Linked DNA regions of Astyanax mexicanus. The protein of the gene in region 2 interacts with the protein of the main gene of each other region in a biochemical or structural test. Links are inferred from orthologs where the notes say so. Each region holds a gene or a part of one and is shown on either strand. Other genes may lie near its edges. The genes, in order: usp20 and claspin.

Region 1 (9,475 bases), on a different chromosome or scaffold from region 2:
CAACATAATCCAGTGCAGTCTAGGTTCAAATAGTATTATTAAAAAATGTATCACTTAGATATGCCAATAAGAGCCTGAACCAAAGACTAGACACGTTTCTTGGACATGGGTTAAGCCTAGAAAAAAACTTTCCTAACCTGCAGGCATGCCCAGAGGTTGGGGCCACCCACTCCACATGACTGACAGGTAGCCTAAATGGAAAAAAATAAACATTAAAACAAGGGTACATGTTGTACTGTATTTTATTTAATAAAATAAGTCACAGATTGAGCAGTAAACTGCAGTATATGAATCACTCTTCTATTTTTTTAAATATAAAAATTGCAGAGTGAAGTTGGGCTGTTGAGTACAGCCTTACCTTTGATTTATGCAGAAGTTCCTCCTTGGTCACTTCACCTATAGAGTCCAGGTGAGGACAAACATCTCTACTGTCTGTCATCTTTTGGTCCTAGAGTGACTCAGCCTGAAAGAGAGAAAAGAACAGAGCTAAAAGAGCAGCACTGAGTGACTGTGTGTGTGTGTGTTTAACTGTGATTACAATACTGCATTCTGCAGAAACGACAGCTGGCCTCATTTAACACTAAGGGTTACAGATAGAGTAAGACAATAAGATGGCTTCAGTCCAGTTTAGTCCAATCACTGTACTCAACTGTAATATCGTTCTATTCAACCCTGGTCAAGCTATGAATGGATTTCCTACTGACAACAACAAATCCCATTAGAGAGAGCACACTTTGTGTTTTCTTATTATCTTATTTTTTTTATCAGATTATTCTTGCACATTAGATCTTATTATTATCTCATTATTGTGATCAGAAAGTCATTAAAGCATCTCGTTTCTATTTGTATCATGTATGTGACAGTATGCTATACATTTATTTTCTTGCCCAATTTTCAAGTACAATAAATAAATAAGTTTGCTGTACAGTATTTAGCTTATTAAAACTTACTAAATCAAAACATAACACAACCTAACAACTTCAACCAACAAGTTTCCAATTTTTTAAATATAGGACTATAGAGACCTTATGGTGGTGTGGCATAACATCACCACCCTCCCTGTGACTGAAATGTGGGGTTTGATTCCTAGGCTGGACATGCACACCGCTACACCAACATAACATTTCAACATCATCATCACCATGCGGGTATGCACAGTAGTCATATCACAGTATGTGCAATGTCATGTAAGGCAAAATGAAATACATTTTTGCAGCTTAATAAGTGAAACATTCATACTGTAGTGGTTTTATGGTATATACACTATAATGACAAAAGTATTTACCGGTACTTGCCTGCCTTCGCATGTATATGAATTTTAGTGACATCCCTTTGTTAATCCAGAGGGTTTAATATGATGTTGGCCCACACTGTGCAGCTATAACAGCTTTAGATCTTTTAGGAAGGCTTTTCACAAGGTTTAGGAGTGTGTTTACGGGATTTTTTGATCATTCTTCCAGAAGAGCATTTGGAAGGTCAGACACTGATGTTGGATGAGAAGGCCTGACTCGCAGTCTCCACACTTCATTCGAAAGATATTTTATCGGTTTGAGATCAGGACTCTATAGGCCAGTCAAGTTCTTCCACACCAAACTCAATCATCCATGTCTTGACATTGCTTTGTGCATTGCTGTGCAGTAGGGCTGAAACTAATGACTATTTTACTAGTCGACTAATCTGACGATTATTTTTTCGATTAGTTGATTAGTCGCAATTATTTTGCCATGCCCTTTTTTGTACTTCTTACTGGAGAGCCTCTTTTTTAACTTTAGATTTACTTTTTTCAAAGAGCACACTGAACTTTTTGTGTCTCTTCTTTTTGGGATACTTTAACTGTGGAAGAAAACTGTTATTTGAAAAGGCTGTTGTTTACAATGAATCTGTGTAATATAACTTGCCTTTCAGTTGTTGATGATTTGGGCACCCCTATTAATCTTAATCATTTTTAGTTCTAAAGTTTGCAACAGCCATTTCAGTTTGATATATATAAGAACTGATGGACACAGTAATATTATATTATATAATAATATAGGATTGAAATTAGGTTTATTGTACTAACAGAAAATGTGCAATATGCATTAAACCAAAATTTGACCGGTGCAAAAGTATGGGCACCCTTATCATTTTATTGATTTGAATACTCCTAACTACTTTTTACTGACTTACTGAAGTACAATATTGGTTTGGTAACCTCATTGAGCTTTTAACTTCATAGCCAGGTGAATCCAATCATGAGAAAAGGTATTTAAGGTGGCCAATTGCAAGTTGTTCTCCTATTTGAATCTCCTCTGAAGATTGGCATCATGGGCTCATCAAAACAGCTCTCAAATGATCTAAAAACAAAGATTGTTCAACATAGTTGTTCAGGGGAAGTATACAAAAAGTTGTCTCAGAGATTTAACCTGTCAGTTTCCACTGTGAGGAACATAGTAAGGAAATGGAAGACCATAGGGACAGTTCTTGGTAAGAACTGTGTCCATCAGAACGGTGTCCATCAGTTATTAGATATATCAAACTGAAATGGCTTTTGCAAACACCCAAATATTTAGAACTAAAAATGATTAAGATTAATAGGGGTGCCCAAACTTTTTCATATGACTGTAACTACCAGAGTGCTTCTCCACTCTTCCTTTGGACTCTGGTCCCTTGATTTCCAAATGGAATGCTAAATTTACTAATGGTGAGTAATGTAGCTTTGTCTCAGAAGTGTCTTTGTGTTATTACCTTATGGGATTCAATAAAATCAAGATATATATTGTATATCGTCATTCACTGAAAAAATATTGAGGTATTATTTTTGGTCCAATTTGCTGAGCCCTAATTGAAATACAATTTTTGCATAAGATGTTGTTGTGGGTAAAAGATGTAATCACAAAATATATATTTTGTGAGTGTTTATTTTGAATATGGTTATAAGCTCTGTGTTGTGTGGGGGATGCTTATTGTTTAGCCAATGCAAAAAACAAGACTAGTAACTAAAGTACTAAAGCAAATCGTGTGTGTGTGTGTGTTTAGAATTTTATAAATAAGATAAAACACAAGGTACACACGTACACACACACACACACATAAAAAAAATCCACACAAAAACACAAACTGCTGCTTCATTCGCCTGGCACGGATAACTACGTCCTCCAAGCAGCCATGAGCTCAACACAAGCAGCTGTTCTTCACCTTTACAAAACAGCCCGGTTCTCAGGGCTGAACTGCGCTGTGAATTTGATTGAATACGCCACATTCAGACTACATGGTCACAAAAATAAAGATAAAGCCAATATAGCTATATATCTATACAAAGTACCTACAGCACAGCCACTGGGAATATAACGTAAGTTAGCTAATTCTGACTCAACCAACATCACTGCTTCAACCATAATGTTAAATATGGATAATTACAGTGTTTTAGATCAATTATACATCAACAATATTCACATAAAACCTCATAAACCTTTCTCAGCTCAGTCTGAACATAGCCGAGGCCATTTAACTAACGTTACCCCTCTCTCTCTCACCGTTACCTATTACACAGAGACTCAGCTAGCCTAGCTAAATAAACATGAAAACGCATTAAAACACACAATGACATCCATATTAATCCAGGTGGAGCGTTAAATACAGCCTTTACCTCCTCAGCGCGTCCAGGATAAAGGCTGAAATGTGTTCATTTTCCGTCTAAATGAAAATCTCCCGATCTCCTGAGGATCTCACTGCGCTAGCCAGCAGGCTAACAGAGACTAGCACAGAGAGCACAGAGCAGAGCCAGGCAGCTCCGCCTCCCCCCCACAACAACAATCCCACACTATTCATTATTTATTTTCCTTTACTTATTTTATTATTTTATTTCGTGACTAATGAATACAAATAAAAAATAAATAAAAGAACTACAACATTATTTTTAATTTATAAATGTATTTACTGATTTATTTAATTACTTAATTAATTAATGTAAATACAAATTACACTACAATACAATCAATAACATATTATGTGTACACGATTAGCAGTTATGCACATATAATGTTAACGACATCCCAATAAAAATAACTACAAAATATTACAAACAACAATTTTTTTTATAATTAATGAATGTATATATTTATATATTTAATTAAATAATGTAAATACAAATTACAAAATAATGCAATATAATATAATATATATACTGCACACTGTTATTTAGCTATGATAGTTAACTATATATATATTTGATTAAATAGTGTACATTCTAATTACATTACAATGCAATCAGGGATATTTCCATATTTTGTACAAATTACATTAAATAAATATATATATATATATTTGTAAATAAATAAATTAATATACGTATGTATGTATGTATGTGTGTATCTAAATACAAACTACATTAAAATACAGTCAATTACATTTACATATTTACGATTAACAGTTATTTACATTTAATGTTTCTGTCCAAATGTCCAAGAACATCCAAACTAGACATGAACTCCAAAACTAATGTCATAAAACTAAATATAATGAAATTCAACCAAACAAATGACTTAAACAAAACAACATTTACAGGATAGTATAATAATAAATAAATCAATCCTAAATAATTCTTAGACAATATATAAGTAATAACAATATATACCTTTAGAATTACTAAAGTGAAGTTTAAAGACATTTCATGGTTAAACAAATATATGTTCTAGATTTGCTAGTAAGTAATCAAGCTGTATCAAATATGATAACAAAAAGGTAAAAGTAATATATGCAAAGTTTGAATTTTCATGCTGCTGCTGTTGTTTAGGTAGGAACACAAATCTGAGTGGGAACGAGTTTTCGCGGGGCAGGTTTGCGGAGTGAAGCGGGCGGAGGGTTAGTACAGTTAGTAACACCAGCAGCAGTAGCGGCTTTAGTTACACAGTTAGCTGTGAGATAATTAGTATAAAGGTGATCATGCCAGCGGGGAGAAGCTTCCGAAGAAGAAAAGAAGAGTCTTCAGATGAAGAGGAATCCAACGAGGTCACATCTGAAGTCAGGTGGGCTATCGGCTGGATCTACACTGTAAACAAACGTTTGGTTAACGTTAGCTCGAGAACTAGCGAGTTAACTAACTTAAGCTAGGGTAGCTAACCTAGCATAAAAAGCTAACAACAATTCTTAACTGTAGATAGAGCTGCGTTTTGCTGACTCTTTGGGAATATTAAGTACAGATCGGCATTATATAGCTAAAATATATTTTGTAATTTAAGAGTATTTAAGATGTCTAAGTTAAACTAGCTTCCTGCTATCTAGTAAATCTAAAAGCTAAATGTGGTACTTAGAAGAATCTAAAGTATAAAACATATTGTGTTTGTTTATAAAATTAACTTCTTTTTACAAAATAATTCAGCCTATGTTTATGTGTAACTTAAATATCTTTAATATTAAACTTACAATGTAGTGGGCCAAATATAGGGCTACAGGTCACTGTGCTGTTTGGTGACATGGTGTGTACCACACAACATGGACCAGAGAAAGCGAAGGAAAGAGTTTCTCTCAGGAAATAAAAATATATATATATACATATACAGAAGCATGTTAAATGTTTTGGACGTGGGATATACTATGGACAGAAAAAAAAAAATTTGCCAAGGCACATTAGCTCTTTGTTTAAAATGGACAAATGAAGCATATCAAGAAAAGACTGTCCCTACTGTGAAACATGGTGGAGGCTCTGTTATGTTCTGGGGCTTCTTTGCTGCATCTGGCACAAGGTGTCTTGATTCTGTGCGGGGTACAATAAAATTTAAAGACTATCAAAAGATTATAGAGAGAAATATGCTGCCCAGTGTCAGAAAGCTTGGTCTTAGTCGCAGGTCATGGGTCTTGCAACAGGACAATGACCCAGGACAATAAAATATAATAAGTGTTTTTTTAAGTAATGGATGAAGTTAAGAAATGGCACATTTTCCTTTCTAAAAATCTATAATATTACAAAAATTCTAGTTTTATAAAGCAGTAACAATGTTTTTAGTTACTAAAACCCTAGATAGATTATATGGTTATTAATATGTAAGTCTGATACTATTACTGTTAAACATGTTATAAATCATATCTCAAATTCGAAATTCTACTGCATGTACATACCTTGAACTTGTTACGGCGCATGGTTAAGATTGCATTTCAGGCTAAAATGTCTTCTGGCAGAGTACCGGATGTAGCTTTAGCTACTCATCTTCACTGAGTAAAATGGGACAGGAGAAGTGGTGTACATTTAATGGATTATGTTGTTCAGCAGTGTCAGCAAGCACCCTAGATTTAGGCTCACCTGAGAGAGTACCCTTAGGAAAGAATGCTGACAGTCAGAGTCACGCTGTTGGGTTTAAAGCTTCCTTTAAAATCTGCTACTCTATATCTGAAGAGTCTGCAGTCTGAGCTAATCTTGTGCTTACGACTAAATCCGCAGGGCGAAACTGGATGAAGCAAAAGAACTTCAGAGTTTGCGGAAGAGACAGAGTGGCGTGAGGTATGCAAGTGTTTAAGATAACCTTTATCTACTATTAATTGTTTGTGATTGTCGTTATTGTTTGATATTATGACTACAGTGGGAACCTAGCTTTCTAGACCATGTTTTATATCCTTCTCCACAGTTTGACAGCATTGCTTGTGGGAGAAAAGTTACCGCTGGAAGCAGAGGTTGAGGTAAGCTTGCATGTGCATTTTTACATGTGTAAATTATGGATTTACAGACTTTAGACTTTAGTTGCGAATGTGGCAGTGTTTGAAACAAATAGAGTATCCCAACACCTGTTGTGTTGAAATAAAGACTCAAATCAAAGCCCAAGCCTCTCAAATGCCTGAAAGTGCCTTAAAGTGCCTTAAAGAACTGCAGCAGAACATCTCAGTTCATCAATATCGATTGTCATCCACAGTAGCATCTTTGATGGGTAAGAACAGTTAGTTCTCACAGTTAATGTGTTAAAACCAGAAGGAAATGAGAAGGCTAAGGATCTGAGCCACTTTCACTAAGATCTTTAGGGTTCACTATGGTAGTTGTGCTGGCTAGATGACTGGGTTTAAACATCTCAAAAACCTCAGATTTTATAGTATGCAGTGGCCATTACATTGCAGACATCCAGAGAGCTGGCAACAGGGTCATAGACACGTAAGGTTCATTGATGTGATTGATGGAGGTTCCACCTCAGAGCATCTAAGGTTGTGTGGAGTTGTTAGTTATTGTTATGGCAGATCTGTTTATATCAAGTTATTTTTATTAGAAACATTTTAAATATTTATTAGAATCTTTTAACATTGTAGGAGTACAATTTTTGAACAAAATCCTGTAATTGTGTATTGTAATGTAAATGTTCTCCCAGAGACCTTATCTTTTAGCCACATGTTTTAGCTAACATGCTAGTGGTTACAATACAATGTGTAATGCTGCTTGATTTTTATAGTATTTATTCATGTTCTATTACATAGCTAGTATACATAAATAAATTTTATACTGAATGCGGAATTGATTAAATGTACAGAAGTTTATTGGAAACTAATGTTGTTAATCTTCTTTATTCTAGGATGATCCATTTAAGCTCAAGACAGGAGGTGTTGTGGACATGAAGAAAGTGAAAGACAGAAACAGAGACAAGTAAGTCTAAAATGTATCAAAAATAGTATCAAATAGCCTGTCTTGGTTAGTAGATTTTATTACTGTGAACATATGTGTGTGCACAAGATTATATATATATAATTTATCCTATGTATGCATTCCAGAATTGAGGATGAAAATGACCTGAACCTGGGAACCTCCTTCTCTGCAGAGACCAACAGAAGAGATGAAGATGCAGATATGTATGTATGCACACCTGTATATGCATTATATCACATCTAATGCTTTCTTCATTGTTTGTTTCTTTGTCAAACACATTGCTTGTTTCCCTGCCATTCAGGATGAAGTACATTGAAACAGAGCTGAAGAAAAAGAAGGGTTTAGTGGAGGCAGAAGAGCAGAAGATCAAGGCAAAGAATGCAGAGGACCTCCTGTATGAGCTGCCAGAGAGCATCCGTGTTAATTCTGCCAAAAAAACAGAAGAGATGTTGTCCAATCAGATGCTTAGTGGCATTCCAGAGGTGGACTTGGGAATTGAGTAAGTGCAAATGAATGGTTTCCTATTTTAAGGACTTAATTGATCTGGAAAAAAGAATAAAAAAAAGCTAAATATTTTATAGTAAAATGATCCAACATTACATATTTGTTGAAAAAGTTTGGCAACCTTTAAGAGTAAAAAGTATAATATAACTGAAATGGTTACAAGGTTTGTTACAAGAACATAAACGTTGGTCCTCACTCTCATTCAAGTCTTGATTTTGGAAGTGTATCATGCATCAAACAGAGAACATTCCTGCACACACAGAAAAAAGAGTTTTTGAAGCACATCAAGCTAGAAGAGGTGAAAAAACAACTGCTGAAATGTCTCTCCTTCTAAAGCAGATAATCTACAGATTAAGAACATTCAGCACCACGGTTCCCATCACAAAGAACATCAAGGTGTAACATATAAGAACCTACAGTCCATTAGCAAACAAACACTAAACCAAACCAATGTACATTGGAAGTGCCACTCTTTTAAATAGGCCAAATTGAAAAGTCCACTAGAAGAATGATCTGTTGCCAGAATAATCCAAAATTGAAATATATTTTCTGTGTAAATCATTATAAAAATGGTCAAATATGTAATATGTTTTGCCTACATATAATATAGCCTTTTATAACAGTCGTAAGTATGTATTATATGTTTTTCTAAGGTGTATTTTGTTTTATTCTCATGCTTCAGTGCAAAGATAAAGAATATTATCAGTACAGAAGAGGCCAAAGCGAATCTCATCGCCGAACAGAGGAATAAGAAGAAAGATAGCGGCACGTCTTTTGTTCCCACCAACATTGCAGTAAACTACGTCCAGCACAATCGCTGTGAGTATTAAAAAAAAAATAATAATAAAAATACTTTTGAGGTTGTCTGAGATGTTTGCCTATTCAACAGGAGAGGTTGGGCCAAATGTGATCAGAGTGTGAAGTAAAAAGAATAAGTTGTAAAATATATTAAAACTTTCCCCTCCTTCTTTCAGTCTACCATGAAGATGCAAGTGCACCCCAAAGACGCCACAGAGAGGAGCCCAAAGCCAGGCCACTGCGCGTTGGAGACACTGAAAAACCAGCACCTGAGAGTAAGAGCAAAAGCAAACAATATACAGCCATAGGTTTTATTTATAAAAAAGCTCTGATTTACCAGCTAACAGATGTCAGTGCTGACCATCACAATAGGTGTGATGTGGGGTGAGAGTGCTATCTACCTACCCTAGAGAGGGTAAGGCCAATTGGGCTCTCTGTTACCTCTTTTCTACCAAAAAAGTGCAGGTGCCGGAGCCAGAGCCGTGTTTCCACTGCTTCAAGGAGTCACTCCTTATGTATGCGAATGTGGGCGTAAACAGAAGCCGGGGGGCGATTTGAAAACAAACATGGCGGAACCCG
Region 2 (9,971 bases):
AGCGTACAACACGGATGAGAACATAGGTGGACACCCCCCCCCCCCCATATGACCCTGCAAGTGCAAAAACTGAATAAGGCTAAGAGTTAACTTTAGGAAGTATATGAATCAGACACTGCATGAAGCGGTACAGCAGAATCACTTCCATAAAGTAGGAGACGGGTAAGAATGTTCTTTAAAAGCACCAATCAAAGCACACCAACTACTGAGAGTATAATCAGAGAAGTCCTCATTCACATAAGCGTGGTACCTTCGCTATGTGTCTAATCTGATGTTCAGATCACAAAAACATCAAAATTGAAATTGGACACTTCATCTCTCAAATTCAACAACTGCAATCAGAGTCAAGCTACTTGACAAAATACTAAACCTGACATTTATTTATTATTGCTGTTTGTTCATCAATGGTTGTATTTACCCAGTTAATCAAGCAATGCCATCTTTAAAGTACTTTACCATATTGTGATGAAATTAATATTATTGTGATACACAATGTGCTTCTAAATTTGTTATTGATTGGCAGTGCCAAAAACAAAGACCAACTGCATATTTGCATATATTATTACAAAGGAGTATCATTTCTGTTGACTAAGATGAGGCACAGCACCTTTAAAATAAAAATACTTGGTATTTCGTAGAATGTCATTTGGAAAGCGACTTTTATAAATCTGATTTAGATTCATGTTAACAATTGTACCATGTATTGTGACTTTTTAGAAAAGCAGCAGCTCATGCTGAAATGGTAACAGATAAACTGTTCCCTAAACTGTATCAGTGTGGTACATTGAGATGCAAAAGCAGCTCAGGCTAAATGGCTGCAACATCAATCCGTAGTGCTGAATGGCCAATCAGTAAATTTAGAATTAAAACCCATGTAGTAAATAGGGATGCACCAATCCAACTTGTTCAGTTACAATACAAATACAGATTAATAAATATTGTGCATCGATCAATATCTGATACTAATACAATACCACTGCTGAACTAATTACTTGTATACCCATGTGTGGGAGAGTTAACAACAGGGCATTTGTTAAGTTCAGGGCCAATATCTGATCCTAATACTGTATTAATGAATTAAAAATGCATTAATTGTACTTCTGTATAATTTCCAATTCTTACAGACACTAACCTCCTTTTATATTTATCTTTAATTAATCAGACAGGTATGTGTACAAAACAAAAACACTAGATCCATATCCATGTGCCTCCTCACATGTGTGTCAAATCAAAAGAAAGACAATAAATCACAACAAAGCTTGTGGACAATTCATGAAAGAACAATTTAAGACAAAATTAAATCTGTAACACACTAGTCAAGAGAAACTTGACCATTCGGGTAAACAACTAAACACAGGAGTGATTTCCATGTCTTTTTCTCTATCTACTCATTTTATAGTCTTTCAGTCTCAGTTTGTGGATATTTATTTTCTCACAAGTTCTGAAAAAAGGCCATCATGTTCACAGGCATATCTGTATGGATATTAGAGGTGTGCCATATTGTAATTTTGTAAAAATTGTAATAATAATAAAAAAAATTAATCCTAATAATATTGATAGTTATTGTCTGTAAAATTGTTATGCTGGAAGTATATATACAGGCAATACATAATAAAATCCCTGACATTACATTATTTTGATATGTTATTATTTTATATAAAAACATCAACAGTCTTTAAATTAATGCTGTTTACAAAATAAGACAAAAGTTTACAGGTTTGTTTGTTTCTGCTGGATTTTTGAAACTGTAATATTATAAACATTTATTGTGTTGCAGTAGTATATTCGAGAAATTAATCAAATATCAATTAAATGTCTGAGGTTTCTTGTTTTCATGTAGGCAAGAACATTGCTTTCTCGCAAAATAATCTAAAATATTGTGAAATTACATTGTTTTAGGGCCATATCGCCCACCCCTATTATGGAAACCATGTATGTTATTGTGAAACAAGCGTCGACATTATGTCCAGCATGGAGGGACCCTGTCCAGAGTGTGGAAGTGGCGCGGAAAGCCCTGTCAACACGGCGTCCAACACAGTATATCCCCCACTGACCATATTTAGCTAACTAGACCATGTGCTTGGAGCAGCAAGACTCAAATTAATGACTGTAGAAACGTGTAAAAATATCCTGGTCTCTTTCGTAGGGTTAAAATTTGATAAAAACCCATTTTGAGGCATAAATAACCTAAGCTACAAAACAAACGAGCACACAGCAGCGTATACAACACGACCAGGAAGAAAGAGGAGCTGCTTCGGTTAAATCCCCCTCCTCGCTCGGCAGCACAATGCCGTCCTGCTGCCTTCCGCACCGCTGTGTGTCTATGTGTTTGTGTGTGAAGCTGCTGCATTGCCGCGACGCTACACAACAAATACCTGCCCAGATGCCTCACACACACACACTTGTTGACCCTCTGACTACATTGTTAATCTTGTCTGTCTGTGATATAAACCAAACAAGCGGTTCTGGTTCAGCTGTGGCGAGCGGACGCGGCCCGACCGCCCCGTTTGTTTTCGCCTCTGCTCGGCTAGGCCTACTCGGGCAGCCGCAGACCACGGCCCCCAGTGAGGAGGCGCGCCGGCCTGCCTGCGCTGTCACTCGGCTTGACTCTTTTGCAGCTTACCGGGTCCGAGCGCTTCCATGGCCGAGGGCTCTCTCTCCGTCTCTGTCCCGGCCTGGCGGCTCCGTACCGACACTGAAATTGGGGGCGGTATCTCGAAGCTTAAGGTGACTAATTTGAGAAATGGAAGGATGCGTATAGCTCGTCAGGGGACCGAACTCGGGCTTCGCTGCGTTGTGTGATTTAAAGCGGATCCGTGGGATTTGTAAGTGCGCATGTGCTGGAGCTGGGAGGGTCCTAACGCGCATGCGCGCTTCTGGAACCTTAATGGTAAAAGCTGCGGTTCCAGGCAAGCCCCCAGCTGTAGTTTTTTTCTTTGGAAATATATTTTAAATACATTTTTAAACTTACTTACAAAATCAAACAAACTATCAACATACAAAAGTGATATTAAACACAACATATTACAGATGATACACTACTGATAATTATAGTAAATAAAAATCTGTAAAATAATCCCATAGTGGATTTATCTTCAGGCAATCCCAATTATTGACAAGATAAAGATAGGGTGACCATATTTGGTTAAATACATGTGTTAATAAATATATAATACAATTCTATATTATTCTATATGAAACAACATTATGCTAGGTCTTAACAGAGGGAACCATATCACTTATCCAAGACAATAAGATAAACGCCCTTGCTCCATAAAGCTGCAGGTTGAATAATGTACAGGTAGAAACAAATAGATATATACTTTATCCATCCAGAAGGAAATGTAGGCATACAGTAGCTTGAAACAACACAATGCAATAAATATGCTCAGGGAACACACAGGAGAGAAGATAGCTAGATATACAAAGGGTATAATGAAAACTTTGGTAGAGCAGTGCAGCAGAAGATGGCGCAATCGTCCAATTAACAATCTACACAGCAAAAGTGCAAGATGCAAATGACATGTACCCATATGTGCATACCCATTCACACGTTTAGATGAGTAAATGCCACTGTAGTTTGACTGCACCAGAGATTAGAGGAGGAACGAAATGCCTAATGGCTCGTTAATGGCTCTGAGGGAAGGACTTAGGCGGACAGACCACATATTTACACAAAAAAAAGATTTAGGTAACCAATTAAGGTAACTTAATATTGCAGCATATATAATAGCTGATTACTCTAGTTACGTATTAATTAACTGTAGCATAAAGCGAATGGTATGGTAGAGTGCAGTTCACCTTATCACGCTACACTTCTAATAATAAGTCCACAAGCAGTTAACTTAACGCGCATGCGCGCTACTGGTGAGTATTGGCGTTCCAGGAAAGCCATCGGCTGCAGTTTTAATAAGTTACAGCTTGAAAAGGGAGGATTCAAGTGGACCGACCCCACACAGTTTACACAGGAAAAAAGCTATTGTCTATAAGGTAATGTTGCAGCATATATTGTAGCTAGGAATTTACACACATCTGCTGCAAATAAACAGAGGAGGTTGGTGGAGTGAAGTGTAGTGGACACCACGCCACGCCAATAGGAGTTCTTGGGCAAGACTCCCAACAATACATTCTCTTACGACTGTAAATGTAAGTTACTCAGTATAAGAGCAGCAACCAAATGCTGTAAATGAAAATGTAAGTATAAAATCTGTGGAACACTAGTTGTGGGGCGCAATTCCTTACCTGTTCAAAGCCAGCAATGAAGATTGTAAAACTTATTTGATATTTGATGGAAAGTGCCTCAGTCTTTTTTCCATACTGACTTAATTACCGGCTTGTAAGCGTTTAATTTGACTTATGACTGGGCAGATGTCTTTGTTTGTCCTTTGCAACAAACCGAAAAACAGGGGTGAGCAATGTCTTCATCCAGTAAGAAACATCAGTGGTATGCACTTAACATGTGTTGAGTGTGGATAAGACTAGGCTAACAACTAGTTAATGTACAAACAGTTTTTGTAATGAATTGAAAATATTTGTTAAGTATTTAAATTTTTAAAAGTCTGTGTTCATTAGATTTTAAAAAAAGAAATTGTCAGTTTAGAAACCTTTAATGCGTGAATAGGCTAAGCTGTTTTAGCTTAAAAGCTGATAGCACCTTAACTTACGTTTTTACTGTAGATCAATGTTATGCATTCCCCCCAAGTAGAATTTCTAATTTCTGTTGTTTTACGATATGTTTATTGTTAAAATGAGATATACTGATCTGTAAAGTTATCTTGATTCAGTGGTATTGCTAAGATGACAAATATGTAATTTGACCAGTCACATTGCCAGGAAGACATCCTTATGTATTTTTTACCAATACAGTCTAAATTGTAACTATTGCAAGTGCTAATTTATTTATATGCAATGAAGATATTTGTAGTAAGTTTAAGATCTCCAAAATGTTTTTGGTAAGGTATCGCTAGTAAAATAACTAGTCAAATAGGACTGTCAGAATGATTTTTATAGATATGTAGTAGGGCTGAGTGATCTTGTAAAAATATTATGTCATATGTTCTTGCATAACAACTTCAGTTTTTTATTATTTGTGGACAGGCAGCTTTTTTTGCCAATACACCTCCCCCCTTACATGCAGGTTTTTTTAAACACATTGCATAAATAACCTCCTTGTATTTCAGTTACGCAAAAGTGTAAAATATGAAAATCACTGCCATGGAAAAGAGTTCTTTACACATTTCTGACAGAAGCACAAACCTGCCTACTGTGATTCCCTCTGGCAGCTTATAATGTAAATATGTACAATCTCGAATATCCCATTTTGAAAATCACATTAAAACAGTGTGTGTGTGTATATATATATATATGTATATATATATATATGTATATATATATATATATATACATATATATATATATATATACATATATATATATATGTATATATACATATATATATATATATATATATATATATATATATATATATATATATATATATATGTATATGTATATATACTTTTAGTAACATTAGTCATTATCTGTACATCTGATATTATTATTAATATTACTAGTAAAATAATTCACCTTTGGTATCTGAAATTAGCACTTTTTCTATTAGGAAATCCTATTGCAGAGGTTTTAAAGTTTAGTTTTACCAGTAAAAAGATTTATTTTTATACAGCAGCAAAACAACACAATGAGCTATTGAAAACAACGCGCGCTTCCTATTTTAAAGATCTGCCCAATCAGCGCGAATTTAGCACGCTGGGGATCCGGTTGACCAATCAGAGAGCTCGGCAGCGTTGACGGACGGGAGCAGGAGAGGCACGGCTGTGCTGCGCGCGAAAGGTTGAAATTGTATTCGGTTTGGAGGATCCGGCGGGAGAGGAGCTCCGGTTTCGCGCTTTACTGATCTATTATTTAAAGTTCTCGGGTAGATATCGCGCGAATTAGTCGCTGTCGGGTTAACTGCTGTTTTTAGCCGCTGCTGGAGACGGTTTCTGCTGTTTTGATGAGTTTTAACACCGAATAAAAGAAGCGGACAAAAGATGAGCCTGCTTTCCGCCGAACGGGTAACTATAACTATCACGCAGCCGGGGACGGGCAGATGTATATCAGAGCTATGTTAAATATGTAGGTTATTATGTAGAAATTTTGTGCTTTTTAACTTTGGAAACGCATATAGTTAGGTTGCTAACTGTTGTCACATTAATCACACGTAGGTTAGCCAGCTAGCTAGGTAACCTAGCTATTTGACTTGGCTTGGTGGGTAGCAAGTTAGCTAGGTTAGCTATTTTGTTAGCTCGCTCGCTAAAGGCTGGTTAAATCTCTTTGTTAGCTTGTTTGCTAGCTATATTTTGGATTAATTAAATTGTTTGTCAGTTTATTGTACATTAATTCACAAATGCTGCTCCTGTTTGTACTATAGCTGAAGGTCAGTTAATCTCGGTTAGCTATAACTAGGGGTTTACGTGTGTACAAGGTGCTTGTGGGCTACATGAAGGTTAACCATTCAGCTCCCAGAATGCAAAACAAATAAAGACAAGTATCTATCTTATACTATTGATTTAATGGTAAAGTAGAAAAAGTGGATGGCAATTTGTAGTTGTTCTGCAGTGTTATGTTTAAATAATAGTTCATTTCTTCACATGATTGACCTTAATAAATAGATCAGTTTATTAATCCCAGATGATACAAAATTGGTAACCAGCAGATTAGCAGATGCAATCTTTAGATAAGAAGTGTACGGTCAAAATCTATATAAGAAAAAGAAAAATACAGGAAATATTGTGTAAGCTAGCTACAAAGTAGTATAAAACAGTATATAACAGAAAGTGTCTGCATTGTAAAGATTCAGTCATGTACAACCTGAATGAATGTACATGGTAAAAACGGTGGAATGATCTTTAGTACAGTATGATTACTGTTGTTAAAAAACAATCTCCAGTACCATTAATCAGGCTTATTTACTATAAATGTGTAACTGTAAGGATTTTTCACCAACCTTATCACTATCTCTCTTGTCTTTTTGGCCAATCGACCAGACACCTTTGTGTTTATTATCTGCCAGCCTAATTTTTACATTTAAAAAGTAACATAAATATCTTTTTAACACTGACTTCAATGTTTGCTCTACAGCCCGTGGATCTCCCTGTAGAGAGCCCCAAGGCTGACAGTGACTCAGACAGTGGAGTAGGTTCACCAATGGAGGATGCTGTGACTGAAAAGAACACTGCCACTGAGGCCCAAGGAGGTAATCTAAAAGTACTAAAAGTATTTGTGTGCAAGTAATTTAAAATTTGCTTTCTGAAACAGGAAGTCTATGTTATGATGCACATTTTGTGTTCTCTAGTTTTGCCAGTATTATTTACAGGCTTTTATAAAGCTAGGACATGGCTATTTTCAGTCTGTCATTGTATTATAAAGACTTATTTTACTATTTTGTGCTCCAGATTCTGATGAAGACATTGCTGTCAACCGGAAGGCTCGTTCTCGAAAGGTCCTTGAAGACAGTGACAGTGAAAAGGAGGAGGAGGTGACAGGGATGGCAGAAGCTCTCGTTCTTTCAGAATCTGGTGAGGAGGAGACCACAGAGGGTGATCGAGTCAAAAAAAGCCGGGGGAAAAGGATATCCCGTATTTCCATGGACAGTGATGAGAGCGAGCCAGAGAAAGATGAACCTAAGGAAGAGAAGAAAAAGAGGGGGAAGTCACAGAGACGCAAGGAAAAGGAGAAAAACAGAGGTTCTCTAGTGAAGCGTTTGAAAGAGAAGTCGGGCGCTGTTGAAGTAAGTTAAATTTAATCATTTCTGAATTAAGTATCAAAATATGTAGTCCATTTTTGACCATAATTAATTCTCTATTTTCAGGCGACCTCTTCGGGCAAGGCTCTCAATGATAGCGGCTGCCTACTTGGTGATAATGATCTATTTGATGCTCAGCTGGAAGATGACACAGCTGATGGGGAGATGGAGGAAGCAGAGTCTCTAGATGCAATTAGAGATGCTGTGAAGCAGAAGGCCAGGCACAAGGTGGGAACAGGGTACTTTCCTGAAGGGTATCAGTTCTGATCTAGAACCTGCTTTTATGTTAAGTAGTAATGTTTGCAGGGAATTTGAAGAGAAGTGGGCATATAAGGAAATTTGAATTCACCAGTTAGGGTGTACGATATAGAATAAATATCACAATATTTGTACACAATATTTGTGATTGTAAACAAAATGTATGATTATCATTAGATTCTTAAAGGCTGCTACTCAAAAACTGTACTGTGTTTAGTACAGTGATTGTCCCAAATTCACTTTAAAATGACAGTTATTTGTTTAACCTACCTGCAGCTCCATTCTCATGACATGGAAGATGATGAAGTCAATGAAGAAGACTGCTCGACGCGTAAGGTATAAGGCGCTTATTTGTCTTTCTTTTTTAACTTCCCCTTCTCCACTGTTAATTTGTGAAGCTAATTGATTTGGATAATGTTCTCAGGAGAGAAAAGCAGCAAGAGCAAGTAAGGAGGCCATGAAACAGCTCCACAGTGACAGCCAGCGGCTTGTGAGAGGTTAGTAAATAGCTGATAAGTGGGTGAATCATTCCCATTTTAATCGCTTTTTAGTCACATGCATATGCTTGGACTGATGGTTTAGACAATTAAATTAGCCACTATTAAAGATATGAAACTTATTAGAATTATATAACTGTACAGAAGCATTTGATGGGCTTTTTGTTTTTCTAAACTGTAATTTAACATGTGATTTGGGTACTGAGGTTCTTTTTAAGCTCTTACTAATCTTGTGGTATCTCTTTGTTTTCAGAATCTACTATAGGGCTACCATACCACATGCCGGAGCCAAAGGGCATTGACCATTTCTTTAAGAGGAGAAATCGTCCTGAGGGCCCTGCTATGGTTTTGTTAAAGTATGTTTAGCATTACATTGACATGTGTCTACCAAAATGCATTAAGGGTCATAGCTAGTGGGTGGACGTTTTATATATGACAAAGTTTTTGATTTTCTAACATGATTTCTGTTTTCCTTTCATCAAGGTCTGCAAAATACCAGACCTGTCTCTCTGAAGCACCTGCCTCTACCACCCAGAGCCAAGTAAAACCATCTGAGCAGAACTCAAGCCCTCAGGCTGGCGCATGCCCGGACACACAAGACCCAGACGGCTGCACCCAGAAGGAGGGTACGACAAATAATGAGGAAAGTCAAGCTGCTGATGGAATTGCTGAGAACCAGTCAGGCACTAAAGCAAATGCCGAGCTCCAAAGCATGGAGGTTACAGAGGAAGAGGGTGCTCATCCTACTGTAGAGGTGCCTGAGGGGGCTGGATTAAACAAACAGGGCCATGAGAAGCCACAGGTTCCAGTTCAACAGGCTGAGCCTGAGACAGGAAATTTGGAGCAAGCTGGCTCTACCTTTGCTCAGCCAGGTTCAGTAGTACCCAAAACCAAGAAGGATAAACTGACTAGACTGCGTGAGCTGGGTTTGGAGCCTCCTCCAGTTGCAAAGCTATGTGCCGATGATGGTGCTTTCATCCAGCTGGAACCTGCGCAGGCAAACCCAGGTGAGTGAGCAATGCAATTGAAATTTTATGTATATTTGCATCACTGATGTGACATATTTCAGGATGGTAAATCTGTCCACATTAGGTTTAGTTTTAGTCAGTTACTATTGTATTAGGCTGATGGTCTAAAACCACCATTTACATGCACTCAAAGTAAAATGCTCTGTTTTCAGCTTTGGAGGCTCTTAAGGAGCGTTTTCTGCGACATATCCAGCCAGCTCCACGTCCTGCAAAAGAGCGCTCAATAAATATAAACGTGGTGAGAAAGGACAGTACCTCATCTGGCCAGGAGGAGCTACATTCTGAGTCAATCACTGTAACAGTGAATGAAGGGAAAGAGGAGCCTATACACGCTAAACCAGGTACATTTAATAATGTTATCTTTGCATACTTGGTACTGTGGAG

The links.
Region 1: of the proteins of claspin (region 2) and usp20, one has a biochemical effect on the other in vitro, tested with the Homo sapiens proteins (2 studies listed by BioGRID, with this or other methods). The link is inferred for Astyanax mexicanus from reciprocal best matches to the Homo sapiens genes CLSPN and USP20.

The regions. Positions count from the first base shown.
Region 1 is NC_064408.1:16,874,531-16,884,005, forward strand, and holds the start of usp20 (ubiquitin carboxyl-terminal hydrolase 20), read right to left. Parts: upstream 3,769-9,475; 5' UTR 3,626-3,768; intron 464-3,625; 5' UTR 440-463; coding exon 359-439; intron 192-358; coding exon 138-191; intron 1-137. Other genes in the region: c1h9orf78 (telomere length and silencing protein 1 homolog), read left to right, coding at 4,921-5,003, 6,413-6,472, 6,597-6,648, 7,524-7,594, 7,720-7,797, 7,896-8,093, 8,781-8,917, 9,073-9,171.
Region 2 is NC_064410.1:53,518,278-53,528,248, reverse strand, and holds the start of claspin, read left to right. Parts: upstream 1-5,852; 5' UTR 5,853-6,050; coding exon 6,051-6,074; intron 6,075-6,112; exon of another isoform or gene 6,113-6,135; intron 6,136-7,140; coding exon 7,141-7,255; intron 7,256-7,454; coding exon 7,455-7,789; intron 7,790-7,870; coding exon 7,871-8,032; intron 8,033-8,338; coding exon 8,339-8,398; intron 8,399-8,486; coding exon 8,487-8,559; intron 8,560-8,812; coding exon 8,813-8,915; intron 8,916-9,042; coding exon 9,043-9,566; intron 9,567-9,739; coding exon 9,740-9,928; intron 9,929-9,971. Other genes in the region: ago4 (protein argonaute-4), read right to left, coding at 2,624-2,642.